Linked DNA regions of Elephas maximus indicus. The protein of the gene in region 2 interacts with the protein of the main gene of each other region in a pairwise test. Links are inferred from orthologs where the notes say so. Each region holds a gene or a part of one and is shown on either strand. Other genes may lie near its edges. The genes, in order: PPP1R18, MID2, LENG1 and CCDC42.

Evidence for each region.
Region 1: the proteins of MID2 (region 2) and PPP1R18 interact in binary tests that used the Homo sapiens proteins (3 or more experiments, as listed by UniProt). The two-hybrid records come from large-scale screens. The link is inferred for Elephas maximus indicus from reciprocal best matches to the Homo sapiens genes MID2 and PPP1R18.
Region 3: the proteins of MID2 (region 2) and LENG1 interact in binary tests that used the Homo sapiens proteins (3 or more experiments, as listed by UniProt). The two-hybrid records come from large-scale screens. The link is inferred for Elephas maximus indicus from reciprocal best matches to the Homo sapiens genes MID2 and LENG1.
Region 4: the proteins of MID2 (region 2) and CCDC42 interact in binary tests that used the Homo sapiens proteins (3 or more experiments, as listed by UniProt). The two-hybrid records come from large-scale screens. The link is inferred for Elephas maximus indicus from reciprocal best matches to the Homo sapiens genes MID2 and CCDC42.

What each region holds. Positions count from the first base shown.
Region 1 is NC_064819.1:91,004,369-91,012,064, forward strand, and holds the start of PPP1R18 (phostensin), read right to left. Parts: upstream 3,236-7,696; 5' UTR 3,152-3,235; intron 2,088-3,151; 5' UTR 2,060-2,087; coding exon 446-2,059; intron 1-445. Other genes in the region: NRM (nurim), read right to left, coding at 4,693-4,974, 5,511-5,687, 6,291-6,487, 7,075-7,204.
Region 2 is NC_064846.1:50,053,619-50,061,108, forward strand, and holds the start of MID2 (probable E3 ubiquitin-protein ligase MID2), read right to left. Parts: upstream 3,245-7,490; 5' UTR 3,039-3,244; intron 2,967-3,038; exon of another isoform or gene 2,893-2,966; intron 2,865-2,892; exon of another isoform or gene 2,435-2,864; intron 1-2,434. UniProt on the Homo sapiens protein: E3 ubiquitin ligase that plays a role in microtubule stabilization. Mediates the 'Lys-48'-linked polyubiquitination of LRRK2 to drive its localization to microtubules and its proteasomal degradation in neurons.
Region 3 is NC_064829.1:92,904,514-92,911,623, reverse strand, and holds the start of LENG1 (leukocyte receptor cluster member 1), read right to left. Parts: upstream 3,206-7,110; 5' UTR 2,870-3,205; coding exon 2,738-2,869; intron 1,059-2,737; coding exon 879-1,058; intron 1-878. Other genes in the region: TMC4 (transmembrane channel-like protein 4), read right to left, coding at 3,722-3,790, 3,888-3,966, 4,245-4,400, 4,499-4,629, 5,209-5,392, 5,717-5,814, 6,153-6,279, 6,529-6,692 and 1 more.
Region 4 is NC_064837.1:11,978,007-11,986,244, forward strand, and holds the start of CCDC42 (coiled-coil domain-containing protein 42), read left to right. Parts: upstream 1-5,130; coding exon 5,131-5,213; intron 5,214-5,536; coding exon 5,537-5,642; intron 5,643-5,891; coding exon 5,892-5,996; intron 5,997-7,802; coding exon 7,803-8,000; intron 8,001-8,238. UniProt on the Homo sapiens protein: Essential for male fertility. Required for sperm development.

The DNA.
Region 1 (7,696 bases), on a different chromosome or scaffold from region 2:
GCTCCAATATTCTGTCCCCTCAAAAAGTATAAGTGCTTTCATGCTGGTGGCTGTGCCATGATAGATTCAGGGTTGGCAGCCTCAGTGCACATCGCCCACCAGATGGGCTGGGCTGGGTCACAGACTCAGAGGAAAGGAGAGAAAGAAATGGGGAGAACTCAGAGCCCTAGGGAAGGGAGAAAGCACAGCGTGGGCACACCCTGGGCACACCCTGGACAGCACACCCAGAGACAGTGCTTGATTGCTGGGCAGGCTCTGAGATGAATGGAACAGGAAGGCAGCAAGAAGAAAGGGTGTGTGTGCAGAGGGAGGAAGGGTGGTGGCAGGAATTAAAAAAGAATAGAGGGAGACAAGAATACAGGAGTATAAAAATGAACAAAAGACCGGTGCCCAGAGAGAACTGGCGAGTGGGCTCCTAAGAAGTCTGGCTTGGCTGCTCCCCTACCTGTTTGTGTTGCCTTTCCGGGGACCCCTTGACAAGGCAGCTGCGGCTGAGGCGGAGGTAGCCCCCTAGAACCAAGATCTCCTCGGCAGTCGGGTACCGCTTCTTCCCGGTCCCAAGGACTGCAGCATCAGCTGTGGAAGGGGCTGCAGGAGTGGCCGGGGTTGCAGGGGGCACAGACCGCCGGGGGTTGACTGTGAAGGTGTGTCCACTGCGGCGGGGGCCCCCCACCCCTGGCCCTGCCTTTACCCCATAGAACAGACGGCTCATGAGGGGATCCCCAGGGGGCTGGGGGACAGGTGGGGCTAGGGGTGGGGGAGACAGAGGGGCTGGTGGCGGGGGCCGGAGTTCTACTGCTTCCTCTTCCTGCTGTCGAGGGCCTCCAGTCCCAGCGTCCTCTGGTGGGAGGGGGGAGGGCACAGAGCAGCGGTTCTGCAGGATGCTCAGAGGCCTGCCCTGAGCCCCTGTCTCCTCCTCCTCAGCCTCCCCTTCTCCAGGCTCTACCCCAGGAGGCCCCAGGCGCTTCTCAGCGGACTCTGAAGGTTCTGGTTTCTGAGTTTGTGTCTCTGTGTCTCTGGGTGTCCATTCTTGAACCTTCCCGGAGTTCAGGGTCCACTTCCACCCTTCTGTCAGCCTCAAGCCCCTCTCACCGTCCTCCACTAGGCCAGGCCTCTGCTCTGCTGCCTCCACTCCTCCGGGGCTGCTGTCTCGAGCCTCCCTTGTTAGGGTCTCTGATAGCCCTGTAATCTCTTCTGGGACCATCCCTGGAATTGGCCTGTCTTCTTTTTTCCCACATTCTCCCGAGAAGTCTTTGCTTTCCTCTCCTGAGCTCGGCCTCCACTGTGATGCCTCTAGTTGTGCCGAACTCTGTTCCTGAGACTCTCCGCAGTCAGGCCTCCATTTATGGGCCTCTGTGAGGCCCAGCTGCTGGCTGCCAGACTCCCCTGGGCTCAGTCTACTTTCCACCACCTCTTTCCTCCTGGGGCTTTGTTCTTGAGGCTCTGCCAGTCTTAGACTCCTCTCTGGAGTCTCTCCAGGGCTCAGTCTCCATTTCCGTGCCTCTGACTGTCGGTAGTTCCTATCTCCCATCTCTCTTGGACTTGGCCTCCAGTCCTGAGCCTCTAAAGGTCTGGGGCTAGACTCTCGGGCTCCCCGTGTCCCCAGCATCTTCTCTCTGGCCTCCCTAGGGCTGAGCCTCTCTTCTCTTGACTCTCGTCCCTTGGGGCTCTGATCCCGAGTCTCCCCAGGGCTGGGTCTTGGCTCCCGAGCCTCAAGCAGCCCGGGCCTTCTCTCAGCAAGCAGCTCTTCACTCCGCTGCTGCTGCTGCTGCTGTCGCTCCTGCCGGATGAATCGGTTCTGGTGCACTGGTCCGATGGCCTCCAGGAGGACAGCAGACTCGTCTGCGTCTGGAGGTCCAGCCTCCGCAGTCCAGGGCACAGGGCTAGGCTCCCCAAGGGACAGCCCAAGCTTGGCCCGGCGGCGCTCCAGGAGCCCCCGCTTCCAGGCTGGCATCTGGGATAGGCGCTCTTGCTCAGCCTTCTCCCGGCCACGCATGGCTGCCTCCTCCTGCCGGCGCCGGGCTAGCAGCTGGAGCTTCCAGTCTGGGATGGTGGCCATAGTCGCCTTGGGGTGAGGCTGTGGAGTGCTGGGGGCAGAGGACAGGAAGGAGAGGCTTGTGAGAGAGGCTCAGGGGGTGAGACTGAGTGTGGGGGGAAAGGAAGTGAAGGGAGGAGGTGGGAGACAGAGAAGAGGAGCTGAGGTGAGGACAGGGGAAAAGAGGGAGAAGAGGAGGCAGAGGAAGGGAAAAGCTGGGAAAATAAAGAGAAAAGATAAGAGCCAAGTTGGTGGGGGGGGGCAGTGAGGTAAAAGGAAGAGTGCAGATTCAGGGCAAAGAGGGAGGAGTCAGATTTGGCACCACATTGTTAAGAAGTCTTACTGTCCCAAGGATGTGACAGGGAGAGAGAAGGGAGAAAAGAGAAGCTGGGGGCGAAAGAGAGAAAAGCGAAGCGGGGGGAGGGGAGGGCCGGGTTCAGGCGAGGCTGCCTCACCGCTACCCCACGGGAGCTGAGAGTGGGAAGGGAGGTCAGACAGTAGCGCTGGGGACAGGATGAAGGGACCTGGGGTGGGGGGGTCTTGGGGAAGTGAGGAGGGGTCCGAGAGGGAAGGGGTCTAGGGGAGAGGGGAAGTGAAGGGGTGGAGGGGAAAGTGAGCGCCGCGGCAGGAGGCCGGCGCGCTTCAGCGCGGCCCTAAGTCTCCTGGCTCCCCTTCCAGCGTCAATCGGCCACGCCCCTCCGGTCCCCCAGCCCCCACCTCCCTGCCCCGCACTCCGCCCCCAAGGCGGGTCAAGGGAAATACCCTCCCCCGGGACTCTCCGAACCCGGGCGTCTGGGCTGCCAGCATGTTCCCAGAACTAGGCATCCACCCCCACCCTGTCCAGCCACCACCGCCTGCCTCCCCCACTGGCTGCGCCCCGGGGCCCAGGCCTGCCGAGGATCGGCTCCACGCCTCTTCTTCCCAGAGCCTGAGAGTCCGCTGCCCCGGTCCCCCGCTCTCAGGGAACTCCCACCTAGCCGGCCGCCCCTACCCGGCTCTGACTGCACAATCTCGGCACAAAGAAGAGACAGCCCAAGGCCCGGCACTGGGAAGGGAGCAGGGACCAGAGCGAGGAGAACATCCCTCCCCAAGTCTGAAACCCCTCGGTCAACTCACGCGCCGCTGGGCCCCAGGGGAGGGGGTGCAGGAGAGCCCGGTGTCCGGAGAGAGGAAGAGGAGGAGAGAGGGAGCGAGGGAGATCCGGAGACGGGAGGGAGGGGAGAAGGAGGGATAGGAGGAGGGAAAAAGGGAGCCCAGAAGGAGGGACCTAGACAGGGACCAGGGGGCCGGGCGGGGGGCGGCAACCGCTTTGTCTGAGGACAATGGGGAGAGGGACCGGGGCGAGGGGCGGAGCCTGAAGAGGGGGCGGAGTCTCGCTACCCTAGACCCAGCCTTGGGGTTCCGCTACGGGACTCCCTTCTTCGCGTCAGAACCCCCGACAGTCTCTGCCCTGTCCCCAGAGGCCCTCATCCCTCCGCCCCCTGGCCCTTGAGTGCCTAGGTGACCAGACCCCCACTCCTAGCTCTCCGACCCAGGGCGGCGGCGGCTAGTGAGTGACTCAGGCCCCTCGAGGGACTTGAGGAGGAAGCTGCAGCTGCTTCGAGCCGGGCCCGCCCTTCCCATCTCCTGCCGCTCCTCCCCATGCCTTTGCCTTCCCCCGACAGCCTTTGTTACTGAGGGGTCGAGGGCTACTGCTGCCCCGCTGTCCGGGCCCATGCGAATGGGCCCCGGGGCGAGGGGGGAGGACGGGACAGGCGCACCAGGCCAACAGCTTTGGGAGCTCGCTCTCCAACCAGAGTAGCAGCCCCCTCTCCCATGAGTCCCCTGGTCTGCAACAGAATTGGGGTTGTGAAGGAAGGGGAACTCGGCAGCTCCGGGCAAGTGGGGGCGGGTCCGCGAGAAGTGGTCGCCCAGATCTGCGTTTGTCTCGGCCGGCTTCCCGCTCTCCTTCCTTCCCAAACCCATTCCTGCAGCCTGAGAGACACTAAAGATTGCATGCCAGATGTAGAAAAGTCAGGCTAAATTTTATTTTCCTGTAACGCGTGTACCTCGGGGAAGCAGGGAGCCCTAAGCTATCCAAAACAAGAGCGGGAGAGTCCCCTCAACGAGGCCCAGGGGAAAGTGACCAGTGGCGGGACCTAGGAAGGTGGAAAGACAGGGCGGGTGGAGAGGATAATAAGGGCTGGAGATGGAGCCTCGAGGCGTGGGCCCTGGAGGGACGCCCAGTACAGTCAAACTTGCAGACTCTGATCCAGTTCCTTGGGACTGAAGCCAGCTTTGGAGAAGGGGGATCCCTGAGCAACAGTGCCAGGGGAGTGGTCAAGGCGGATCCTTTCCCTTGTGGTGTAGGCGCTGGAAGGGGGCGCTCAAGCTCAATCCCCAAATGGTGAGGGGACAGATGAGTTCCACACCAGCCTCTTTAGGGAGAGGAGAGGGCCCTAGCTGGTGAGAAGTGGACCTTCGAGTCCAATGACTAAAACTCTGAATTTAGGGTATGGAGCTGACCTCAGGAAATGGAGTCTCAAGTAGGGGAAGGACCAGGCCCTGCAGTTCAGAGTTTGGGGCCTCTGGCCCGAAGTAGCCAGCACTTGGATGTTGACAGATTTAGAATTTGAGGGGAAGAGGAAGTACAGGGCTTGGAACCAGAAGTTAGCTCTTCATTCAGCCTCCCCATCCTGGGGACGGGATAGCAGGTGCAGTTTTCTTTGTAGCTGGGCCCGGAGGTAGCGGAGGTCATGTTGGTCCAGCCCATGAGCTAGGCCCAGGTAGAGGGTGAGGAGGAGAGCAAGGAGGAGGCGATCAGTGCCCAGGGTGGGCACCACCCACAGTATGGTCAGCAGCTCCACACACACTGGGTGGCGAAGATGGGAGAAGAGCCTCAGAGCCCGGGGGGACTTCAGGGCCAGTGGCTCCCCCAGCCCGAGAACATGGTAGTACACCTAGGACAGGGAGAACAGTGTAGAAATAGAGCCAAGACCTTTTGACAACTTAAAACGAAAAAAAAAAAAAATTACCATCGAGTCGATTCCGACTCATAGGGACCCTATAGAACAGAGTAGAACTGCCCCCATAGAGTTTCCAAGGAGCACCTGGTAGATTCGAACTGCCGACCTTTTAGTTAGCAGCACTAGCACTTAACCACTATGCCACCAGGATTTCCTTTCATAACTTGGCTTCCTCTTTTCTCTCCCAGGCACCCTCCTCCTAGAACTCAGGCCCAGGCACTCCCCTTCAGAGAGCTGGGCTCCTGACATGGCTATCTAGTCCATGCATCTTCCCCAGGCCCAGGAGGCCCATGGTTGCTAGGCTTTGAGGGAGGGCTGAGGGGAGACTGTCTGACAGGAAAGGGAGGTGAGGGAGTCACAAGCAAGGGGAAGGTGGTAGAGCACTGGAGGGGGAGGACTGAAATCCTTGGAAGGGGAAGAGGAGTTCTAGAAAGGGCTGGAGGCCCCAGGTAGGGATCTGGAAGCCTCACCTGTTTGAGGCCCATGAGCTCAGCGTAGTCAAAGACGAGAAGGATGCTGAAGATAAGGAGCCAGGAAATGATGTGGAGCACAAAGCAGAGCAGGGGCACCCAGGTGGCCCATGGCTCAGCTCGAGCCTCCCACAGCACAGGACCTCTGGGTACAGGTTCCCAGTACCTCATCACCAGCTGGGGAAGGATGAGGAGCTGAGTATCCCCGCAGCCCACCCCTGAGATACCCAGTCCCAGAGGCTGCCCCATCCAGGCTGATCTGCAGCTCTCCCCTACCCCCATCATGAGCATCCACCGCGTGGAGCGTGCTGGGTGGGGTTCCAAGAATATAAGGATGACCTGTCTCTACCCTGAGGACTTACAGAATGGGTAGGGTGATCAGACAGGTACACGAAGTAGCCAGTACCAAGCACCCAATAAGAAGACAAAGGAGCACTCACTGGGAAGCTTTCCCTTGAGGCTTAGGGGTGTGGGTTTTGAAGAACTGGTAGGACTGAGTGGAGTTAAGGAGGGGATCCCAGGCAGGGGGAAAACATGAACAAAGTTGCAAAGGTGAGAATGCACATACTGTGCTTGGCCAGTGATGAGTACACCCTTCTTGATAAAGAGTAAGATATTTGCTGTGGAGGAACAGAAGCTGAGATTAGAGTCTTGAGCATCCTCAGCTCTCCTCCTAAATCCAAATTTTATCAGAAGCCTAAACTCCATGCCCCTCCACGCCAGGGTGTCCCTCCCACAGATTCTGTCCTCCTTGAGAATATGCCTGCCAGGCCCCCATACCTGCAAGGCCAGGGCAGTGCATGCCACATACAGTGACCGCTGCAGGACCCCAAAGTACCGAGACGACCATGCCTTCACTGTCTCAGTTGCCATGAGGCTGTGCTGCCCCACAAATAGTAGCAGGAGCCCCAGATCCCATGCCAGGGAGACAAGAATGCTGCGATCCTGCAGGGCAGCCAACCATCCCTGCCGGACATCTAGGGGGAGATGAGAAACAGAGAAAAGATCAGGAAGATGGCAGGAAACACTCCTTATCCTAGGCTCTTAGAGCACCAGGCCATGTCCCTTAATGCCTCCAAGAGCCTTCATGCTTCCTCTCCAGGCTTGCCCATGTCACTTTTTCTTTCCCGTTTCTTCCTTCTTCCCCAGGCATCCTCCAGAGCTGGGAAAGAGGAGTCACAGAACAAAGAACGTTGGGCAGTCACAAAAGGCGTGGCTGGAGAGGCCACCTTGGATTCTCTCTTTCATTTCAGTTCTCCAAATGGTCCCTCTTTTAAACTCTTCTCTACAGTCCTCCCCATAAAGCCCTTTCCTTAAAATACTCTGCTTATCACCCTTCCCCTCCCCCTCAGTCCTCACTCTCTCTCCATTCTAAACCTCTTATCCCCGAGTTCCTAATTTAGCCCGCAGGTCCCCTTCCCCTGGCGCGATTCGGCGCTTCCAAGGTTCGAGTTCCCTCTCCAAGACTTCCCATCTGTCATTGGTCTCCAAGTCCCGCCCCCGCGCCCTCTTCTCCGGCTCCACCCCCCTATCCCGGAGTCATCCTCTGGTCCCTCCCGCTCACCGGGGCCAGCCTCCGAGACCCCTCCAAGAAGTGGCCGAAGGGAGGTAAAGCGCACGAATTCCACTCCGGTGCCAAAGGCTAGAATGAAAGAGGCGAGGGCAGCAGGAACCAAGAGAAGCGCAGGGGCCATGGCGAGAAGCTGAGGGGCGAGGAAAGGGGGCGGCCCCGGGATTCCCGCGGCAGCTGGCCCCGCCCCGGCCCCGCCTGGGGTCCCACCCAGAGGGCGGGGCACCCGCGCACCGCCTCCCGGGCTTCCGGCCCGCCCGGCTGCGCTTGCCCAGCAGGTGGCCGCGCCGGCGCTTGGGTCCCTTTTTCGATCCTGCGATCTTGGCGTCACAGAAGGGAATGTTAGAATTTCATGTGAGCTGTTTAAAGGGCAGCGGCTCGGCAGCCACTGTCGTGGGTTGAATCTCAGCTCTTGCTAACAATTTCTCTCTTGTAGGGTTCTTAAGGAAATGGAACCTTGTAAACCCCGTTTTCTTTAATTTAGCCTTGACTAAAAAACATAACCAGAATGAGAGCTAACAAGCCTCAGCAGTTTAATAGTGAACGGTGAGAGAACGGGAAGATTGTTGACGCAGACTGTCTGAGAACCCAAAGCTCTGAATCACATATTACATCT
Region 2 (7,490 bases):
GTGTATATTGCCATGCCTAAAATTACTTATGCCACTTTTCAGTAGAAACTAACTGCCCCCATATAGGCTAAAAATGGGGGAGGTTATGTTTTCAAATGAGTCTGACTCAGATTGTCGGGTCAGAGTACATTAGAAATGATTCAAACCACGTCTTAAAATAATCTGCATTACTCTGTATGTCTAGCTTTAGGTATGTTTCCATTCAGTTGTATGCTCATTGGGAAAAAAAAAGACTTCAGACCTAAGTACAGTAGGTGTGTCTCCCAGAGGGCGTTAATAATGCCAAGGTATGGTTTCCAGTAAACTGGGGTTCCTACTTATACCCAGTCTAGCCACTATCCCAATAAAAGGTAAATGGAGTACTTTCTTCGAAAAGTACAATGCTGAGTGTTTATAGAACCCTTTCATCTTCAAAAGACCCAGCCAAGACTCACAATACTCTGTACACAATATTATGCCTTTTACATAAGTGCACCAACTATGAAAGAAAGGTCACAGGGATGCCATAAAAGCCAATGCAACATCAGATTTGGGATGAACTCTCTGATCTTCTTGGCTCCTAGACCTGTATTTCAACTACATAAATCAAATTGTGTGGAGTAATCAGGAGAAATCTAATTTACTTTATATATCTGTATTAAGTCAATTGATTGGGTAGCAATCTATATAAAAATGGCAAAGACTGTTCCCCCTCGGTGCAAGGAGAGGCGATGTAAAGGGGATGGGGGGGCTAACCAGCTGGGACCGCCCAACACTGCTCCCGAAACAGAAGAAAAGAGAGGGGGGCTCCCCACTCAGCATTCTTCCTACTATTATTGGAACATTGCCAGAGAACTGACTACAGTTCTGGGAGGGAACAGAATGGGGTTAAAGGCAGCCCTTATGGCTCAATTTGAGAACCCAAAGAATCAACCCACACACAGCACTTGTTTATGTACAGTTTCAATATATTCCTTTTTAAGGGCCCCTCTGGGAGTCCTGGTAGTGAAACCATTAAGCCCTAGGCCACTAGCTGAAAGGTTAGTGGTTCGAACCCACCCAGCGGCTCTGAGGGAGAACGACCTGATGATCTGCTCCCATAAAGATTACAGCCTAGAAAAACCCTATGGGGTAGTTTTACTCTGTCACATGGGGTGGCTATGAGTTGGAATCGAGTACCCAGCACACCACCACAACAACTGGGTGGCGCAAACGGTTAAGCTCTCAACTAGTAGCTAGAAACTTGACTGTTCCAGGCCTGCCCATCTGCTTCCAAAAGGTCACAGCCTTGATAACTCTATGGAGCATAGTTCTACTCTAACATGCATGGGGTCACCATGAGTGGGAACCTACTAAGTGACTACTAACAACAACTCTTATTTTAACCTCAGAGGCACACAACTATTACCATCCACCCCTCACGTCAGAGATCCTTAAAAAGACAAAGTGGTTGAGAAACAAGAGGCTGCACGGCTGGGAGGTTACTTGAGTGCACAGGGTGATGTGGAAAGGCTGGGGTGGGGGGCGCTGGATTTGAGAGATTTGGGTGGACAAATTGGTGTGTGACAACGTAAGAAGGTGACTGACTGAGCTCGAAGGAAGGTAGGGGAGTGTAGAAGAGGGAAAATGAAGAACCAAGCGACCCCAGGATCCCAATTTCCTGCTCTGGGAAGAAATGCCTCCGAAAACTAATGTGCCGCTCACGAAGTGCTAAGCTAAGTAGCCTAAACCTTATCATCACAAATAATGTTTCTGTAAATCTACTCCGCTGTTATTAGTTCTTACGAGACAGGAATGGAAGAACCCCACCTCTCTCCAATTCAGTCTCAGCCTGTCCTGTGGACATATGTAAGTTTTCCTTCTCCCCTAAAGACCTGGTCTCACAGCTAGGCCATAAAGAATGAACCATCCATACGGAGACTAGACGCTTGCTCGCTCCCCTGGCAGAAAAAGGATTAAGTTTCGCCTGGCCTTCCCGCCGGCAGGGTGTCCGCAGCATCCCCGGCTGCTGCGGCAGCCACCGCCAGGCAGCCAGCCGTCCAAGGGGCGCCGCCCGAGCGGAGGAGGCTGCCGGCAGCGGGAGCGTGGGAAGGCGGCGGTGCCCTTTCCCAGACTCCCGCCCGGGCGCCGGGGAAGCCGCTCCACTGTCCGAGCCGACTCAGCCGGGCTGCGCGGGAGGCCTCGGCCGCCCCCGCCCCGCACCCGAGTGCAAACTCCCGTCCCAGGAGGGCAGTGGCAGGAGCCCGGGTCCCAGTGTCGCAACCAGGAGGCAGGGCTGGGCCGGAGCCGCCGCCGCCTCGAGCCTCTCGGCCCGATCAGCCCGCCCCACCGAGCCCCAGAGCCCTTGGCCCGACCCGGCCACGGCGGCACCTGAGGGGCGGCCGGAGCCCGGGCCGAGCCCTGCGCCGGCGGCGGCGCTCAGCCCCAGGGACGGTGGCTAGGGGGCACGTTTTACCCAGAGCGTTCCCGGGTGCCAGCCATCTCCTAGGCGGCGCGACGGAGGGCGCCGGCCGCTCGCTTCTCTCGGCAGCGCTCGCTCGGGCTCCGGCGCTAGCTCCCGGGCCGCCGCCGCCGCTGCTCTAGGCCGCCGCCCGCCTTCACCGCCTTCGCTTTGGCCGCCGCCGCCGCGCAGCAGCCGGGATCCGCCTGCCCGCGCGCCCGGCAGGGGACAGCACGGCGGCTGCAACGCTGCCTTGGCTGAATCTCTCGAGCCAAACTTAAAGAGTTTTCGCTTCTCAGTCCAGGAGCAGCACCATGACACCACGGCAGCACCACACTGTCATTTCCGCCGCCGCAGAGAGAGAGAGAGAAAGGCAATCCCTTCGAAAAGGGGAGTGGGTGGGGGCAAACAGGGCTGGGGCTAACGCCCCGAGGGAGGACCAAGCAGGGCCCCGGCCACCTTCCCAGGCTCACCTTCCGCCGCCTTCGCCGCTCCCTTCTCCCCCAGCCCCTCCTCTGGAGGCACATTTATATGTTTTCTCCCCAGGTAGGAGTGACCGGTGAAACCTGAGCGAGCAAAGGCGGCGGGTAGGTGGGGTTCGGGTTACTACTGTACCTACCAGCTGATTCCAGCGGCCTTTTCTCCAGCGCCCTGTCATCTTGAAGGAAGACACACCGAGAGGGGCCCGGGCGGGCGTGTGTGTGTGTGTGTATGGTGTGTGGTGTGTGTCTGTCTGTCTGTCTGTCTGTGTGTGAGAGGGAGAGAGAGAGACAGAGAGAGAGCAGAATGTGTGAGGAATGCCAAAGGAAGTCAACAGCCAAACTCTTCTCCCACCCGCCACCACCCCCCCTCTCCCCCGCCCTGCCCCACAAGCACCCCCCAGGTTAGAACAAAAAGGCTGTTGCAATGGGCAATGAGAAGAAAGTGTATGGGGTCCACCGCACAGGTCCACGGATGAAGCTGCTCTATGTAAAGTTAACTACAAAGTACATAAAACAAAAATAGTGGAGGAGACAGAAAGGAGCAGACAATTGAAGGAAACCCAACCCCTCTTTCTTTTTACAAAGGGAGAATGGCTGTGTTTTATTGGCCTTGGGCAGAAGTTGTGGAGATGGATTAAAGCCACCAAAGGAAAAAGAAAAAAAAAAGTTTCTTTTGCACCTTCAAATCTTTGACCATCAACACAAGAGGGTCGTTACTCAGAGGACAATGGGGCAGATGCCAGCTATCTAGGTATTTGATGTCCCTAATAAGCTGATTGGTCCATCTGGAACCTGGGAGTACCCCATTGGTCTGCAGTCAGAGTCTCCGCTGACCTGTCGTTGGTTCAGTGATGCTGCCCCCACTCACCGGATGGATAGGAGAGGAAAGGAAGAGGAGACTCTTAACATGACAAAGAAAAAAAAAAGAAGGAACAAAAGAATGAGAAGGGGGGGAGAGAAAATGGAAGGAAACAACCCCCACACACATAGACCTCCCACTACTGTACATGGATGGGAACAAGTCCAGAGAAGTTAAGGTAGCTCTGGGTGTATCCCGTCAGGGACCAATAGTAATCAGCCAATACCTCTGTTAAACAATGTTCTAGAGAACACTAAGGTGGAAACCAAGGGGAAAATCACAGCCAGCTATCCTCCTGATGAAAGTCCAGCCCTAAGAGAAGTAAAAGTTAGTAAGTCAGAAGTCAGCTGATGCAGCCTAACAGGGGATGGATAAATAAATATTGTCGTTTCTGAAGAAGGTTATGTTTATATTATTACATATATATTACAATATATATATTATAATTACATATATATTACAATATATATATTATAATACGAAGATTCTTTTTTTTTTCTTTCCTCGTATATGGAGCCCTGGTGGCGCAATGCTGCTAACCCAAAGGTTTTCAGTGCGAACCCACCCAGCCGGTCCGCGGGAGAAAAGAACTGGTGATCATTGCTCATAAAGATTCAAAAAAGAAAAAAAATTGTCCTAGAGCCGATTTTGATTTATTAAAAAAAAAGAAAAACAGTTGCCCTTGACTTGATTCCTACTCGTAGTGACCCTATAGGACAGAGTAGAACTGCCCCAGAGGGTTTTCAAGGGATGGCTAGTGGATTTGAACTGCTGACCTTTTTCATTAGCAGCTGATCTTTTGACCACTGTGCCTCCAGGGCTCCATACACATATATTTATACACATATATTTATAATATGTATGAAATATTGTTAAATGAAAAAAAGCAAGGTGCAAAGCTGTGTATGGTTTGCTACCACTTGTGTGAAAAAGGGGGGAGGATCTGTCCCTATCTGCTTGTATATGCACAGACTCTAAGAAATGGATTATATTGCTTGCCTGGGGGTTAAGCACAGGAGGGTGACATACTTCACATTGTATATGCTCTTTTATATTGTTTGAAATTTTTATGATGTGCATGTATTATCTTTTCAAAATTTTTTTTAAAAAACAATGAAGTATACAGAACAACAAATACAGGTTATTCTATTCATGTAAAATAAGAAAGTCAAAACCAAACCAGTTGCCATCGAGTCCATTTGGACTCATAATGTCCCCATGTGTTACTCTGTACTCAGTTTTACTGGTGCTCTGTAGGGTTTTCAAGGCTGTGACCTTTTGGAAGCAAGTCATCAGGCCTTTCTTCTGAGGTACCTCTCAGTGGGTTTGAACCACCAAACTTTCTGTTATCAGTCAGGCACCTAACCTTTTGAACCACTCACGGACTCCATGTTAAAAATATATATATATACACACACACATATATATGTATACATATGCAGGAAAATACATAGAAAATAACCCGGTAGATAGGAAGCTTAGGGGACAGTGAGTTTATGTCAATGATGGAGGAATAACTTGGAAAAGAAGGGTAAGAATCTTTGCACAACCTGAAGAAAATAAGTGCCCCTGAATTGTACATGGAGAGATTGTTGAGTTGGTCTGTGTTTTGCTGTGTATATTTTCAACGACAACTACAAAAATAAAATAAATTATTTAAAAAAAGAAAAGAACCTGGCAGCATACTGTAAATGGTGCGACCCTAGAATTGGAATGCGTGTGGAAGGGGACTTTTGGTTTTAATTCTATATATTTTGTAATTATTTGAATATTCTATAATGAGAATTTCTTCATGCATTGCTTTTTAATTTTTTAAAAATCAGAAAAAGGTACTTCTCCAAGACAGAAGTTGAACCCAAACTTGAGTCAGAATTCTGAGAATTCTTATTGAAGCTCACTGGGTATGATTCCCACAGAAAGCTGGAGAATTTTCTAAAATGGGAAGAAGTAACTGCTTTCATCATGAACACCCATGAACAAAGCTAGAACTGGGAGTAGAGAGATTCCCTTCTAATGATCTTTATCGTCTTTTAGAAAGCATCCTATCCCTCACTTGTTAGCAGTCTGGCCTCGACCTGAGCTTCCAGTGCTTTCAAGATAGCCCCTGGCTTTCCACAGATCTATCCTGGATGCCTTACCCGCCCTGTCGTCCCCAGGCAGCAATCCATTCTTTGAAACTTTCCTTTCCCTCCCCTAAATTTACCTGCTTCCGTATCCCTTTCACACAGGACCTTACTAAATAATTAAGGAATTCAGTCAACTAATTCAACCTAACACCTTAATAGCTGCATTGTTTCCCCCTTAGTAGATGGTATTTTAATTTTAACAGAGGCCTTCAATATATTAAGTCAAAAGAATGACTAATAGTGTGTGTGGGTAGGGGTGGAGAGTAGGGAGATTTTACTAGTCACATCACATAAGCAGCTGCTTTGAAAAATATCCTCACTTTCAGATGTTTTATGTAAATTACCGACTAAATTTATTAAAGTAAATGTTTTGTATCTGGCAGGCAATGTAAAATCGGCTGGGATTATGTGATGAAATTATTTGTTTATAATTATTTAATGGTTACCTTTGTATACAACATGTTAATCGTATTAACAAACCTGGCCCATGAAAAAAAGACTTTTGACAGTTTCGGCTTGAGGTGTTTAATTGAATTAATCTGAGGCCGACTTGCCACACCACAGGCCTACAGTATGAAAGGGACAGCTCATGGGCTACTTTTTCCAGCTAAGAATGTCGGGGGTGGGGGGACGGCTCCAGATACTTTCTACAGAGAGAAGCACAGAGACCAGTCTGTTTCAGAAGGGAAAAAATCACAGAAGGGTGATTTTGTTGCACAAGAGAATCCTTGCTTCTGCAAAAGGGAACCTTCAGACGGCTCTCAAAAGAAGCAGCTAGTTGTCTGAAATCCAAAGAGGATGACCAAGGGCTTTTCTAACTGAGAAGCTCTTAACAGGATGGTGAGAAGAAAAGCATTTTTGGCATGGAGTCATCAATAGCACATTGTTTTAAAACTAGTTGTGAATGGGCCATGTAGGCTGCCTAAGAGAGTGATTCAAAATAAATATGTTCCCAGAATGGAGAGGTAGCAAGCTTCTGGTACTTCTTATTCTCCTTTGACCTATATTTTACTAATTTTTTTAAATATAATTTTTATTGTGCTTTAAGTGAAAGTTTACAAATCAAGTCAGTCTGTCACATATAAGCTTATATACACCTTAGGACATACTCCCATTTACTCTCCCCCTAATGAGTCAGCCCGCTCCCTCCTTCCAGCCTCTCCTTTCATGACCGGTTTGCCAGTTTCTAACCCTCTCTACCCTCCCATCTCCCCTTCAGACAGGAGATGCCAACACAGTCTCAATTTAGTAATGCTTTTATCGACTTTGTAATTTGTCTGAATTGTTGTGTCTGTTACAATAAAAATGTACGTTTGCTATCTGTATTACATTGGTAAAATATTTTCCTGCAGCTTTAATTAGTATTTAGGCCCAACCCTAAACCTTACCGTGGACCATACATTCCTAACCAGCAGCACCAGGTCACCTGGAGTCTGGTTTCCATGGCACCACATCCTCCATGTTTTCCTTCTGTGTCACCGGCCTGGTGGCTCCACGGTTAAAAGCTCAGCTGCTAACCAAAATGTGGGTGGTCGGAACCCACCAACTACACTGGGAGAAAGATGTGGTGGTCTACTTCCATAAAGATTAGAGCCTTGAAAACC
Region 3 (7,110 bases), on a different chromosome or scaffold from region 2:
CATGCAGCTTTCCTGTCCCCTCCCTGCCTTCTCGTCCTTAACCCCTGGTGTGCCCATGTAGTCTCGTATACATGGTTGAGCTACCTGTATTATTTTATGGGCCTGTCCGATCTTTGGCTGAAGAGTGAACCTTAGGAGTGACTTCAGTATTGAGTTAAAAGGGTGTCGGGGGCTATACTCTTCGGGGTTTCTCCAGTCTTTTGTCAAACTAGTAAGTCTGGTCCTTTTTTGAGAGTCTGAATTTTGTTCTACCTTTTTCTCTAGCTCTGTCTGGGACCCTCTACTGTGATCCCTGTCAGACCACTCGGTGGTGGTAGCCAGGCACCATCTAGTTGTGCTGGACTCAGTCTGGTGGAGGCTGTGGTAGTTGTGGTCCATTAGTCCTTTGGACTAGTCTTTCCCTTGTGTCTTTGGTTTTCTTCATTCTCCCTTGCCCCTGTAGGGTCTTGACCTCAGGCTGGAGACCTGAGCGGTTTGCACCTAGCAACCCCACAGCCAGGCTGTTGTTAATTGCCTTCAAGTCAGTTCCAACTCAGTGACCCCATGCGTGCAGAGTAGAGCTACTTCATAGGGTTTTCAAGGCTGTGATCTTTTGAAAGCAGATCACCAGGCCTGTCTTCTGAAGCACCTCTGGGTGGGTTTGAACCACCAACCTTTCAGCTAGTAGTTGAGCATTTGCACTACCCACAGACTCCATAGCTGGGGTGACTAGCCAAATCCTGTGGGTGCCTGGATAGCGATAGCCAGCACTTCTTGGGTGCTGGTCCGGTACTGTTCTAAATTATGTAGTTCACTCATTTAATTCCCACCATATCTGCACACTCCTGTTGGTCACACCCAAGTGCCCCCCCCAAGCCCCATCGGCAAGGCCAGCTTACCTTCTCCTGTCGTTTTTCCTCCTCATACTCTTTATTGCTTCTGGTCACCCCTTTCCCTTCTTCTAGCAGCTCTCGAAACAGGTCCACAGGGCCAGGACTTGGGGCTCCCACCTCTACTGCTTCAAGCTCAGGTTGCAAGTTCTGGCGCCTGGCCTTCTTGCGTAGGAATTCTGTGCGGGCCTGGGGGAAAGGGGCATTGTAGGCATTCAGAACCCAGAGGTGACTCAAGGGGCTGAGAGTCTGGTGCAGACCACAGAGCATCACAGTCCATGGTCCTGGGGTACTGGGAGCCCAAAGAGGCCCCTGTCCCATCCTGGGGTGAGGCAATGCCTGAGTTTTAAAAGCTGCCTTTCAAATAGTAATCCGTGGGTCATCAAGGTTGGCTGGAAAGAGGATCCCTGGCCTAAACCAGAGGGGTTCCCAGTCAAGTGAAACAAAACAGCTACAGAGGCAGCCAAACCCTGTATTAGGGTCAAAAACACTAAACAAAACCCAGTGCCCTCAAGGCAATTCCGACTCACAGCGACCTTATAGGACAGAGTAGAACCACCACATCTTTCTCTCAAGGAGCGGCTGGCAGGTTCAAACTGTTGAACTTTTGGTTAGCAGCCAAGCACTTTAACCACTGCACCAAGAGCGCTTCTTTGTATTAGGACCAAAACCAAATGAAACCCACTGCCATCAAGTCAATTCTGACTCAGAGTGATCCTATGGGACAGAGTAGAATTGCCCCATAGGGTTTCCAAGGAGCAGCTGGTGGATTTGAGCTGCTGTCTTTTTGGTTAGCAGCTGAGCTCTTATCCACTGCCCCATGAGGGCAAATGTATTAGAACAGATGATCTGAATTTCAGGCATGGCCCCAAGTCACTTTCCCCAGTCATACTTACAACTTCTGCTGATACATGTGAATAAGGAAAGAGCCCAGGGTACCACTTCCAGCCAGTGCTGAGGATCAGGTAAGCGACACAGGTATATACCAACGTTGTTAGCTGAGGATCAGGTAAGCGACACAGGTATATACCAAGCAGAGGTCGTTGTTACTTGGCGTCCAGTAGCCATTGAGTCGATTCCGACTCATGGTGAACCCATGTGACAGAGTAGAACTGCCCCATAGGCTTTGATCTTTACAGAAAGGAGCCCTGGTGGTGCAGTGGTTAAGCACTCAGTTGCTAACCAAAAGGTGGGCAGTTTGAACCCACCAATAACTCTGCAGGAAAGATAGGCAGTCTGCTCCTGTAAAGATTACAGCCTGAGAAACTCTGTAAGACAGTTTCTACTCTGTCCTATAGGGTCGCTATCAGTCGGAATCGACTCAGTGGCAACGGGTTTTTTGGTTTTGGAATTTTTACCAAAACAGATCGCCAAGTCTTTCTCCCACGCAGCCGCTGGTGGGCTCGAACTGCAAGCTTTTCGGTTAGCAGCCAATCACTAAACCGTTAGCCACAAGGGCACTTCAGGTGCCCAATAAATGTGAAGGTTGTGCAAAAAAACCAACCCGTTGCCGTCCACTCAATTCGGATTCATAGCGACCCTACAGGTTGTGCAGGAAACTAAAAGCGATCACAGTTCCTTTCGACCTCGCAAAGGCTCATTATATTCATTCAGCGCATATCTACTCTGTGCCAGGCACTACTCTGGACACTTGGAACGCAAGCGTGGAGGAAGCCGAGACGAGGGTGGGGTCAGGGGAGGCTTCGTGGAGGTAGGCACAGGAGAATTGAGCAGCTCTGCGAGAGACACGTCCCCAACGAGCAAGACCAGAGCCTGAGCCCAGATTACACAAGGGGCGCACTGCGACTGCGCGCCACTCCACTTCCGGGCTCGGCCCCTGGAACCCGCCCGTTCAGACTCAGGCTTACCTCTTGCTGAGCGAGCAGCGCCCTCCGCTCCCGCTCCTTCTCCTCCTCCCGGGCCTGGGCCTCGTCGCGCCGCACGCGCGCCACATTATCCTTGTTTCTGACATGCCAGCTCTTCTTGGGCAAGATATTCATGGCGCTGTAACCGTCCTCGGACTGTCAGACCCGCCTCCTGGCACTTCCGATTGGCGAGGCTGTGCTCCCCCGGTTGTCCCAACCTCGGCCTCAGATTGGTCTCGGGCTAATCAGCACGCCCCCTGTAGGTCTGTAGCGAGAGGTGATTGGCTGAGTCGTCCACCACCCATCACCTCGAATCCGCGCGTGGTAGCGCCTAGTGACTACCTCTTATCAGGGTTTTGAGTCAATCATGGATGGCCCCGCCCCAGGCGCTGCAGAAGCCGCCGACGATTGGCTCTCATGCCTGTCAAGTCGTCTCGCGGAAAAGCGTGTAACACCATCACAAATTCCAATACATTTGATTGGCTCATCCTAGGATGAAGCCCTGGCCCGGTTTGAGAAAACAGGTTTCAAAGAGCGCTCAGCAGCCTTCAAGCCAAAAACCAAAACCCGTTAATGTCAAGTTGATTCTGACTCATAGTGACCCTATAGGACAGAGTAGAACTGCCCCATAAGGTTTCCAAGGCTCTAATTTTTTTTTTTAATCTTTACAGAAGCAGACTGCCACATTTTTCTCCAGAGGAGTGGCTGATGAGTTTGAACCACTGATCTTTCATTAGCAGGCAAGCACTTAACCATTGCACCACCAGCAGCTTCCAGTTGTATTTATTGATAAAAGAAAAATTTCAATAGAGTCAGGGACTTGACGGCCAGAATTCTCCAAATCCTAGGCTGGAAGAGTGCAGTCTTCTCCAGTACTCCCATTTTACAGATGTGAATAGTCGAGGCTTACAAAGGGTATGACACAAAGCCTGGGGGCAGATCTGGAACCCGAACGTGGTTACTTCATTCTGAGCCAGGCTGCGCAAGTCACAGAGCCCCATTGGCCGAGCTCAGCGCCACAACGCGCTGTGCCAGGAAGACTTTATTCTGCGCCTCCTTGAGTAAAAACAGGTGGAAGTGAGACACATCTTCCCTCCCTCATGTCCCTTTCCATATTCTCCAGGAGCTTTCCCAGGTACCCAGCCTGCCTCACCGTCTCTATCTGGCGCTTGAGCTCAGAGATGAGGCGCCCATATGAGTTGGCCACGGACACTGTATATGCCATGAGGATGCTGCAGGAGACAAGGAATAGAAGCCACATCCAAAACACTCTTAGAATGTCTTCAGTGTCTGGCTCCGTAGACACCAGGGATCTAGGGCCTCAGCTCCTCTTCCCTTGGACCCAGTAGTCCAGGCCCCCAGCCCTCTCCTCACTCAGACCGGGAGTCTAGGCCCCCAGCTTCTTCCTCCAGCAGACTCAGGAGTTTGAGTCTCCTCCTCCCTCGGATGCAGGTGGCATGGCCCTCAAATCACACACAAACTTACAACCCAGGAATCCGGGCCCCCTCACCTGGAGAACAGCAGAAGGGGCACAGCAAAGGCCTGGGTCCCCAGGAAGAAGAGAAAGTTCTGAGCGGCCCGAGGGAGGCCATAAATAGACTCAGGGATCTGGGCCCAGATGGATGGCTGTCCCTGGAATGGACCACACAGCTTGGAGGGCGGGATCCTGAAGTCAGAGATGGGTAGAGTTAAGTAGGGCCAGGAGTCAGAGTCCTGGATGAGGGTGGAGGGAGGGATCGAGAGGCGGACTCCTCTCACACTTACAGGAAGATGCTATAAAGCACGGGAACAGCGGAGACGGCCAGAGCCAGGAGGAGGATCAGGGAGAAAAAAAAATTCGCCACGGAGGCCCGGAAGGTGCGGGAAGCCGGGGAGCAGGTGGAGAAAAGGTAGAACTGATGAAGGAAGGCGGGGAAGGAGGAGACTTGTGACACTGAGTCTGAGCCCCAGCCCCTCCTCCCTCAGACCCAGGAGTCCTGACCCCTCTTCATTCAGGACCCAGAAGTCCAGTCCCCAGTCCCCTTTCCCCCAACACATCCAGGAATCCAGGTCCCCACCTCCCTACCCCCATCACAACCAGGAGTCCAGTCCCCAGCCCCCTCCTTTCGCAGACCCAGGACTCCGGACCCCAAGCCCCTCCTGCCTCAGATCCAAGACTCTGGGCCCCCACCCCCCTCATCCCTCAGACCCAGGACTCCGGGCCCCTATGGCCTCCTCCCTCAGACCCTGAAGTCCTGGCCCCCAGTTCCCTCATCCCTTGGACCCAGGAGTCAGGGATCCAAGCCCCCTCCTCCCTCGGACCCAGGAGTCCAGGCCCCCAACTCCTCCTCAAGACCTGATAGTCTGGGTCCTCAGCCCCCTCGTCCTCCAGAACCTCGGAGCAATGTCCCTCAGTCCCTTCATCTCCCTGACCCCAGTAGTCCAGGTCCCCAATACCTCTCCGCTCAGAACCCCGCGTCTTCCCCACTCCGCACCTTTTTCAGATAGAAAAGTAGCAGGAACTTGGCCGTGTTGAGCAGGGGCAGTAAAGGGCAGAAAAAACTCCCCACCCAGACCACTGTCTGCGCGTAGATCAGCTCCAGCACCTCGCCGGGCACCTGGAACTCCAGGGTACCGGCCACACGACCCAGCGCCCCGGGACAGAAGCCACAGAGCAGCCTGAGAGGCGGGGCCGGGCCGAGTCAGGGGCGTGTCGGCCCGGGGTTTCTCCACCTCACCCGTCCCGCCCACCAATCGGAAGAGAGCATATCCAAGGGAGGGCGGAGCTTTCAATATCCCACGTGGAGGGAGCGAAGAGGTGTGTTTAGAGGACAGGGGCTGGGGACAACGCCCGCCAGACGGCCTTAGGGGCGGAATTGGAGGGGGCGGGACCTGAGGACTCAGGCCCAGGAAACCAAGCCGTCAGGGTCGTAGCTATAGAAAAAAGATGGTGGGGCGGGGCTTATTCTATTAGGGGCGGAGCCACCGCGAAAAGGCTCTCACTTTCGAGGAAACTGGATGAGTAGCGTGACTGCCAAGCCGGTCAGCAGATCAAAAAGCAGGAGTTTGTACATCTCCTGCCCCAGCCGGGTCTCCCAGCACTGAGGAAGGAAGAAAACGGGTTAGAAAGACCTCAGGACCCATGCATGCGGATTTCCAAATCGCAAGCCGATAAGATCCTATCAATATTTCCTCTGTGGGCGTCCAGTTTTCTCAAACATCCATACCCCTGTCCTCAGGGGGGTGTTCCAGCCCCCTAGCCCTTCTCTGGACCCACTCAGCTCCTTCTTCCTTCGGGGACCTAGGATCTCCAGCCACAGGCCCGTTCTGCCTCAGGACCTAAGAGTCCGGGACCCCAGGCCCCGCTTCCTTCAGACCCGGAGGTCCAGGGCCCCCTCCTCTCTCATACCCAGGAGTCTGGGTTCCCTGTCCTTCTTACCGGAAGTTCTTTGTAACTGTAGCCACAGGCTTTGCAATTCTCAGCCTCGGCATTGCCCCCGCAAGTGATCTTATTCCAGAGAGAGATGAGCAGGACCGGGAGAGAGACAAGGCGGAGAATCACAGTCCTGGCAGGGGAAGGGAGGAAGGGAGTTAGCATTGACCAGTACTCACCACCTGCTAGATCCTCCTCCGTGGAACGTGCTCACGATTCTCCCCATTTCAGAGATGAAGAAATTGAGGCTCAGTGACAAAGTCAGGATGAATCTAGATCTCCCTGGATCCCTGTCTTCGGGATTTCTGTGTCTTGTCTCTCAGAATCAACATCCCTCCAGCCAGCTCCCCAACCACCAATCCCTAGCCTGGAAGGCTGGAACCTGAGCAGGATAAAAATGATCTGGCGGCTTCGGCTGTAGCCCTCCAGCGAGGCAATGAACGTGAACACAGGTGGCAGCACGAAGTTGACTACGGAGATGAAGATGGGTGGAAGGTAATCCACCAGCAGCTTTAGTAGTGGCGTCTGCTGGACAAAGGAATTCTCCTGGGAGAGAAGGTGGACCAACGGAAGATTATCTGGGCTTCTGGGGGTGGCCCATAAGACCCATGCTTAAAATACTCCTCCAGCTTCGTCTTCATTCGGGCCCCCGAAATCTGGTTCCAACCTCCCCCCTCCCTCTACCCCTCCTCTTCTAAGTTTCCAGGAATCCTAGACTTCAGTCCCCTCCTCCCTTCGACAGGCAGGTCCAGGGCCTCCAACCTCTTCACCTCCAAGACCTTTCGCACCTGCAGCTCCACGGTGTACTCCGTAGCCCAGTAAATTCCATAGAGGGCTGCACCCAGAAGCGCAATCACCAGCAGGTTGAGCAGCCCCCGCACCAACCACACCCTGGCTTGCTGACCCAGGGTCCGCGCTGCAGCCTGGTGCCGCACCACTGCCTCCTCCAGCTCCACCTGAGGCC
Region 4 (8,238 bases), on a different chromosome or scaffold from region 2:
AGCTGTAGTCTCCTGCCATTTCACAGATTCTCAGTTTCTCTCCAGCATTTGTTGTTTGAGCATTGTTCCCCTCACCTCTTGTCATTACTCCCTAAACAAAACAGTGTAACAACGATTTACGTAGCACTTACATTGTATTAGGTACTATAAGTAATCTAGAGATGATTTAAAGTATATGGGAGGATGTGGGTAGGTTATGTGCAAATACTCTGCCATTTTATATAAAGGACTTGAGCGTCCCCAGATTTTGGTATCCACAGCGGGTATGGGGGGAGAGTTCTGGAATCAGTTCCCTGCAGACACAGAGGGACAACTGTGTGAAGAAAACTGAAGGATAAAAAAGAAGAGTTGAGCAAATGAAAAAGTACCTTTTTTTTGTAGGTAGGTTTGACATCACAAAGATGTCAATTGTCTCTATACATTTAGTGCAATCTCAGTAAGTATACTAACTGGGTTTTATTGTTTAGTTAGTTGTGTTCTTTGGAACTAGAAAATCCGATCCTAAAGTTGATCTGAGAAAATAAACTAGAATAGCCAAGAAGCTTCTGGAAAAGAAGCACACTGAGAGAGGACTATCCCTGAAACATATAAAAACACACGTAAAGCCTCAGTAGTAAAGGTGTGTGGACAGACAGGTCAACTGAACAGAGAGTGTCCATGGGGAAAAGCAGCACTAGTCCATAAATGGCTTAGGGACAGCTAGGCAGTCATCAGAAGGGAGGGAAAAAAAAAGTTTGATCCATACTATGGTAAACACCATACAGCTCAAAAATAAAAATGTAAAACACGAAACCCTAAAGGGATTTGAAAAAAACATGGGAAGACTCCTTAATAATGTTGTGATATGGAAACCTTCTCTAACTATGACTCAAAATCCAGATGCTATAAAAGAAAAGATTAAGGCATCTGACTACATAAAAATTAAAAAATTCTACAAGAAAAAAAAAAAAAAAACGCCTTAAGTCAAAAGACCAATAAAATAACTGGGAAAAGTATTTGCAACTCCTTTCTAATAAATAATGAACTCTTATAAATCTATAAGAAAACAGCCAACCAACCTAGTAGATTGGTGGACAAAGGAAGTTAGAGAGACAATTCATAGAAAAAGAAATACAAATGGATTGATCCAGAAATCCCACTTCTTGGAATTTATCCTGCCCATATGTGAAATGATATGTGAAATGATATGTATACAAGGTTATATACTGCAAAAAATTGGAAATAACCGAAATATCCATCAATAAGAGACCAATTAATTAAATTACAGAATATCCACATAATGGAACATAATGCAATTAAAAGAATGAGGAGACTTTTAATATATTGATATGGCAAGATCTCTAATATATATTATTAAGTTAAAAAAATAAGGAGCAAAACATTGTTTGTATGCTCTTTTGTGTAGAAAGAGTAAAAAATAAGAACATATTCCTATCTGCCTGCATTTGCATAAAGAAACTCCAGAAAATGCATAAAAACAGTTATTCGTGGGAAAGGTGTGAGAACTGGGTGGTTGAAAGAAGGGATAGTGATGAGGCTTTTCACTGTACACACTTTCTTTGAATTTTTGAACCACGAGGATAGATTATCTGTTTAAAACACCATATTTAAAATACTTTTCTATTTATCTCTGATATTCTTAAATTTCACTGTATATATTTAGATGTGTTTTTTGTTTGTCTCCTTAGATATAAGAATTTCAATCTCAAGTCTCCTCTTTCATACCCTCCATTTGTTTTTCCTTATGAAATTCCTATTATTATTTAGATTTGACATTTTTATTTCAATCCTCTGGACCTTAGCTTTTATTCTTTATCTCCTCCTGAAGCCTTCTGGAAGAGTTCTTAAAGATGGTCTTCTATTCATTAATTGTTCTTTAATTGTATCCATCCTGCCATTTAAAGCATCCATTGAGTTCTGTCGTCCACTCAGCTTTCCATTCAATTCGTTCTTCTCCATTCACGCTTGCTTCTCTTCATGTTCCCAACATCCTCCCTCATCTCTTTGAGGATATTTGTTATGTTTATTTTAAATTCTTATTCTATTGATCTGTTGGTTCTGTTTCCTTTGGACAGGTTGTTCAGTCTGTTATCTTTTATAAAGGTTGCCCCCCTCAGACATCTCATTGTTTTTCCTCATGAGCTCATGTGTGCTTGAGACTACGTTCTACCAACTACCTTGAACTGTCCCTGGAATGTTAAATGGCCTCCCTGCCCTGTTCTGCATATGTATGTATTCAGACAGCCTCTGGTGTTGCAGTCCAAGATCACCCACTCCTGTTTTGCCTCCCTTGACCAGGCAATACTGTTCCTCTGTAAACCTTCCAGAACCTTCCCCCCAGACATGGTTCTTTTCTAGGGGCTGCCTCCCTCTGTTGCAACTGCCTGCCCATGAAAGAGGGACCACTCAGGATTATCCAGCCTGAGTGCATTTGTGTCTGCTCCAGTGCTGCCCCCTCCTCACCCCACCACTCTGGGCTGACACTAAGTTGTCACTGGGATGATGCTGCAAGCTGTACAGTGAGCTTCCCAGGGCAATGTGCAGAAGAGAAAATGCCATGAGCTATCCACCATCCCTGGTACTTAGCCCTCTTCTGTTCTGGACTGCCATTTCTCACACACACACACACACACACACACAACCACATCCCACCACTTTCTGCCTCCCTAGGGTTTCCTCACAGTTTTTGTGTTCCGTTTGGTTAGCCATCCACCTCTCTCAGTTCTACAGAATCTCCAGGGACAGAAGCCCTGATCTGCAATCTTGTGGGAAACCTGAAGTTCACCTCATTTTTAATTGTGGCTTTTCTTAGTCTGCAGATGAAGCATAATCTTCAAGCCTCCATTTTTTTTTCTTCTATAAAGGAGACATTTGAAATAAACGATCTCAAGTTGTTCTAACTTTAAAATTCTGTGGTTCTGTGTGGCAAATGAAGTGACATAAAATATACCGAGATATTTTAAGACTACAGAGTTACCAAGGAAATAAAGAGGCACATGAGGGAATACCCACCAAGAGACAGTTATTAGCAAGAATGGATGTCAGGTTGAGAAAGTGGAGTGTCAATCAAGTTTCAGGGAACTAGGAGAAGGGGAGGATGTTGAGGGAGATACACAAGAGAAAGAGAAAGACACTGGTTAAAACAAGGTTTGGAGGAGAATCAGCAAATCTTGAGTATGACAAAAATAACTAACTACCATGGGGGCAGATGCAAAGATTTTTTTTTAATTTATTATGAGATATTTGAGACATAGGGAAAGGTGTAAAGAATAATGTAATGAACACTTGTGTTCCCAGTGCCCAAAATCTAACATATTACACATCACCAACAGCTTGCCCTTGGTTGACACCCTGGGTGCCTTCACCCAGCAACATGCCTTCTGAGCGGGATGACAGTGGGCAAGGTACTTAACCTCTCTGAGCATCCATCTTCTCATCCATAAATGGAGATGAAGATAATAACAGTACCTACCTTGAGGAGGTTGTTTTAAGAATTAAGTCAATTAGTGGGGTTAGTACTGTTAGTTCTGTTACTATCATTTATTCAGATGTTAAGTGCGCACCTTCATGGGTCAGAATTGTGCCAGGCTCTGGGGACAAACGATCAGAGAAACGTACTCTTCAAAGAGTTTACGGTTCTTATTGCCGTCGTTGCTCTTACCCTACTGGTTCTGACTCTCTAGGGCGCCCCGGGTGGAGAAGCCATCTCTGGTTTAGGGGTTTGTGGGGGGTGGGTGTTCTGGGTGGGAGGGGGGCTGTCCTGCTGTCTCTCCTGAGCCCGCCAGGCTGACTGAAAGCGACCGGGCTTGTGCTTCTGGCCTCAGAAATCCCCACTAAGCGGTCTATTCTGGGGAGGAGGTTGAGGGGAGGATGGAAAGGAGGAGGGTGGGGGGTGGGCAGCGCCCCTCCAGCACGTCTTTTCCTCCCCACGGGCGGGTGGCCAGCAGGGGGCGCCAGAGGACCAGCAATGCCGCTGAGAGGGCGGTTGCTGAGCTCCCTTCACGACGGGTTCGAGACCCCCACCCCACATGGGCTTCCCTTCCAGACAGAGAGCAGAGCCAGGACGCGTGGCCCGCGTGGGGCAGAGGAAGCCGCGCGAGAGCATCGAGGGAGCTTGGGAGCCTGTCCGCGGGCAGGAGCCAGCGGAGGGCCGGCCTGAACCTCCCAGCCGGGGTCTGCCACGGAGACCCAGGGCGCCTGCCCCACACGCCGGGTCTCAAATCTAGACGCTGAGCCTCACGGCCATATGAGTGCATGCATTTACCCTGACAGGGTCGAGGAAGGCAGCCATCACAAAGAAAACATTTGATGTGTGAAATATTCATAACCCTGCTTCGACATGTCTCCAAAATTTAATAATCTAAGAACTTCAAAATGAGGCACTGGTCCCGAATCTCTTGCCCCCTCCTCCACACCCTTGTTGGCCATATCTCTTCAGTCCCAGGCTTCTTGCATAGCCTCACACATCTAGACCGCACACACATCCTTCACCCACTAGCTAGTTGTCAACCTCAGGCCTCCTCCCACCTTCAGGAATCTCCAGCCCCTCTCCTGCACATCCCCAAAGGCCCATGTTTCTCTGTCCACCCTCACCCCTACCTCAGCTAAGCACCTCTTCTTCTTTCCTTTCTTATTTGCTATCTGTCAAAGGCTCACCTGAACCTGGGCGGGAGGCCTAGGAGCAGGGGTCCCTCAAAAGGACAATCCCATTTCTCAGCCAGGACACCCCGGCCCTGCCTCCCAGGCCTGGGCACCACGGCAGTACCTACTGAGGCCTAACTTCCTCCCAGAGTTCCCGAGGGGTAAGGGCAGGAGTAAGGAGCAGGACCCCAGCAAACATGAGGCCAGGAGGCAGAGGGCTAAGCACGAGTTCTGCGTGTAGTCCACAGAACCAAGCAGCCTGTTGCTAGGTAACCAGAACCTCACATCACCCCCCACAACACATCATCTGAGCCAGGGATTCTGTCTCCAGCTATCTTGGGCAGAGTCTCTCAAATACCTACCGCCCCTGTGGGACTCTGAAAGCAGGAGAAGAGAAGAAACCAGAGCCCAGCCACCACCCCTTGGGATCCGCCACCCACTATTTCACTGTGAGGACCCAGCTGACTGGGCCGTGAGGGCACCGCAGCCATGAGCCTGGGAATCATGGAAGAGGAAGATCTGGCCGAGTACTTCCGGCTGCAGTATGGGGAGCGGCTGCTGCAACTGCTGCAGTGAGTGTCTGAGAGCCCGCCCCATCTCTCTGTGCCTTAGACCACCGACCTATGCCTCACCTTCCTGCTCCCAGCCTGTCCCCGCCTCCTCCTATAACCCAGGGCTCCAGATCACCCTGACACCAATCCCCCCATCACCCTGCCTCAGCTCACTCTCCAAATGAGCACGCCTCTCTCTTCTCCACACCCCAGACCTTTCACTCAGGTAGGGGAGACACCCCCTTCCCTCCCCATGGGTATCTCTCTCCACTGGTTACTGCCCAGCCCCAACCTGCCTCAGGCACCCAGAGCCCACAGGCCCCTCTTGCCGGTGTCTTGGGCAGGAAGTTCCCCTCCACTGAGGAGCAGTCGGAGTCCCCATCCATCCGGCTGCTGGAGAAGAAAAAGGAGGCCAAGATCATGCACCATGCTATGGAGCAGAAGAAGGAGGTGGGCCAAGGGGACAGGGTGCTGGGGTGCATGTCTCTTCCCTCTGGGGAGAAGAAAAATGATCCGAGTCTCTGGTGCTATTGTTGTCCTGGGGTGCTCTGCTCCAAGCCAGCCATGGGACAGAGAGGGAGAGGTCTCCTATGAACCCTTCCGGGCATGGGAATAGCAGTTCTGGGCAGGGGATGCTGGGACCTTCCTCAGTACACATGTCTGAGGCCCTCTTGACCACTCTCCTTTCCCCACCCGCAGACATTTAAACGCAGGATGGAGGCCTTGAACCTGCGCTGGGAGGAGCTGGGCATCAAGGAGGCCCAGCTGACGGCCCACATCCAGAAGTTTGAGCAATTCATCCAGGTAGGTAGCGGTGTGACCTACTGTGGCAGCCAGTGGGACTCACACTCTGCTGTCCAGCAAACTGCCTTCCCTCCCTCCTCATCCCCCTAGCTTTTGCTGACCTTCTCTCCCTGGGTTCAATGGCTGGCTGTACTCCAGCAATCCTGATGCTTTCCCCCTTCCAATCCCTCATTTACAGCTCTGTTTGGAATTTCCTGTTTACCTGCCCCTTCTAGATTGCTGTTTCCTGTTTCCTTGCCAGTACCTAGTGAATGAACAAATGAATGAATATATCAGAATCAGGGCTGGGCCCTTGGGAATACAAAGATGAATAAGACAGGACCCATCCTTGCACTGAAGGTCCAGACAGGAAATGGTCAGAGGAGCAGGCACCAGAGTTCACTCCCAGACAACCCCTCTCAATGGGTCCTTAGAGGAGGGATTTAGTCATCTTAAAGTCCAGCCAGCACTTATCAAACCCTTAAGGGCCTGGCCCAGCTCCAGGGGCTCGTTGCTGCCCTTGGCCATAGAGGAGCCTACTCTTAAGCATCTTCCACCATGCTTGTGCCTAAACCAGACAGGAAAAGAAGCTGGCTGACTGGGGGCCAGTCCTTTTACTGACCAGAAAAAAGCTCATGGAGTGGTTGGAGCAGCAGGAGATTTGGGGGTGAGGGGTCCTCCAGATGGCTACTAGAGGACCAGCAGCACTGAGGTCCCTGAGAGTTTGTTACAGACGCCTGGACTCTCTTCTCTCCTTGCTTTCAGCAGGCGTGAGGTCAGTCCCAGGCATCTGTATTTTTACCAAGCTCTCCAGGGGTTACAGATGTACAGTCGGATTTGAAAACCATTGGCTTAGGGCCCTTGTCCTCTCCTGGGCTTAGGGAGCAGAGAACAAACCCCTGAGCACCTTCCTTCATGCCATCCAAATGCTGGGACCACACATGCCACCCATGGGGAATCAACAGGGCCCCAGGGAGGAAAGGGCCACACAAGTGCTGGGAGAGGGGTGGGTTTGCCTCCTACATCTTGGAGGGAGGGTTTGGCCGTAGGAAGGAGAAGGCAGGACTGGACACATTGCAGTAGCTGAGCCTCATGTCATTTTGGGTGTCAAATTGCCTATGCCATCTTCTCCAGCCCTGGCCTGGTGCCAGTCTGAGCCCCTAGGAACATGCTCCCTGGAATGCCTTATCCCCTCCGGTCCCCTGGACCAGGCCCATTGTCTGCCTCATCTCCCTGTAGTTCAAGGGCTGCTACCTCAGCTTTTGGAAGAAAAAGAAGGGCCACTGCCTTTCATTTATATAGTTGGAAAAACTGAGGCACCAAAGTTGGGAGAACATTCGGGCCTCCCAGCTATGGGCCCAGGAATTTACCCCATGACAAACGTCCACCACTAAGAACAGAAACAGGGGAAGCTTTGTCAGAAGGTTTGCTTCTGGAAAGTCCACTTCCGGGCCGTCTCACCCTTCCCCAGGGTTGAGCTGTCTCCAGAGACTGAGACGTGGGCCTCCGCATTTGGCCCCCTGAAGTCTGGAACTCCTCCCACAGAATCAGAATCATTTCCCAAGGCCACCTCTTAACTTGGGTCTAAACCTCCCCCCTCACAGCCTTCTGAACCCCAACTCACTCCACAGAAACCCCGTCAACTAGCTGCAGATAAGTTTGTAGACCCTTTTCCTGTGTGCCTCCTCTCCCAGTGGGCGGCCCAGCCTTCCCTGCCCATCCTCAGAGTGTCCAGAACTCAGCCAACCGGCCTTGCGAGGGCACCAGGGGGCTGAGGGCCCCTCCAGCCACTGGCAGTTCTGACTGGTGCCCCTGCTCCGGCCCCAGGAGAATGACCAGAAGCGGATCCGCGCCCTGAAGAAAGCCAACAAGGAGCGAGAACTCAAGAGGCAGCGCATGCGGGAGTTGGCCAAGGCCAAGCAGGAGATGGCAGCTCTGCGGCTGGAGCACCAGCGGCTGAGCTGCAAGCTGCAGGACTACTCCATCTTCAACAAGTACCTGGAGAGGGTGGTAGAGAACTCTGAGGTGAGTCCTGGGGTCGAGTGGGGAAGAGCCTTGGTGCCCACCTCAGCCGCACCTCCCCTTCCCCAGAGTGTGGGGCTATGGGTGGCATTTCAGCCTGAGCTAGCTGGGATTTAGGAGCTCCTGGGGGCTCTGTGGGAAACCCTGGTGATGTAGTGGTTAAGTGCTACAGCTGACAACCAAAAGGTCAGCAGTTCAAATGCACTAGGTGCTCCTTGCAAACTCTATGGGGCAGTTCTAC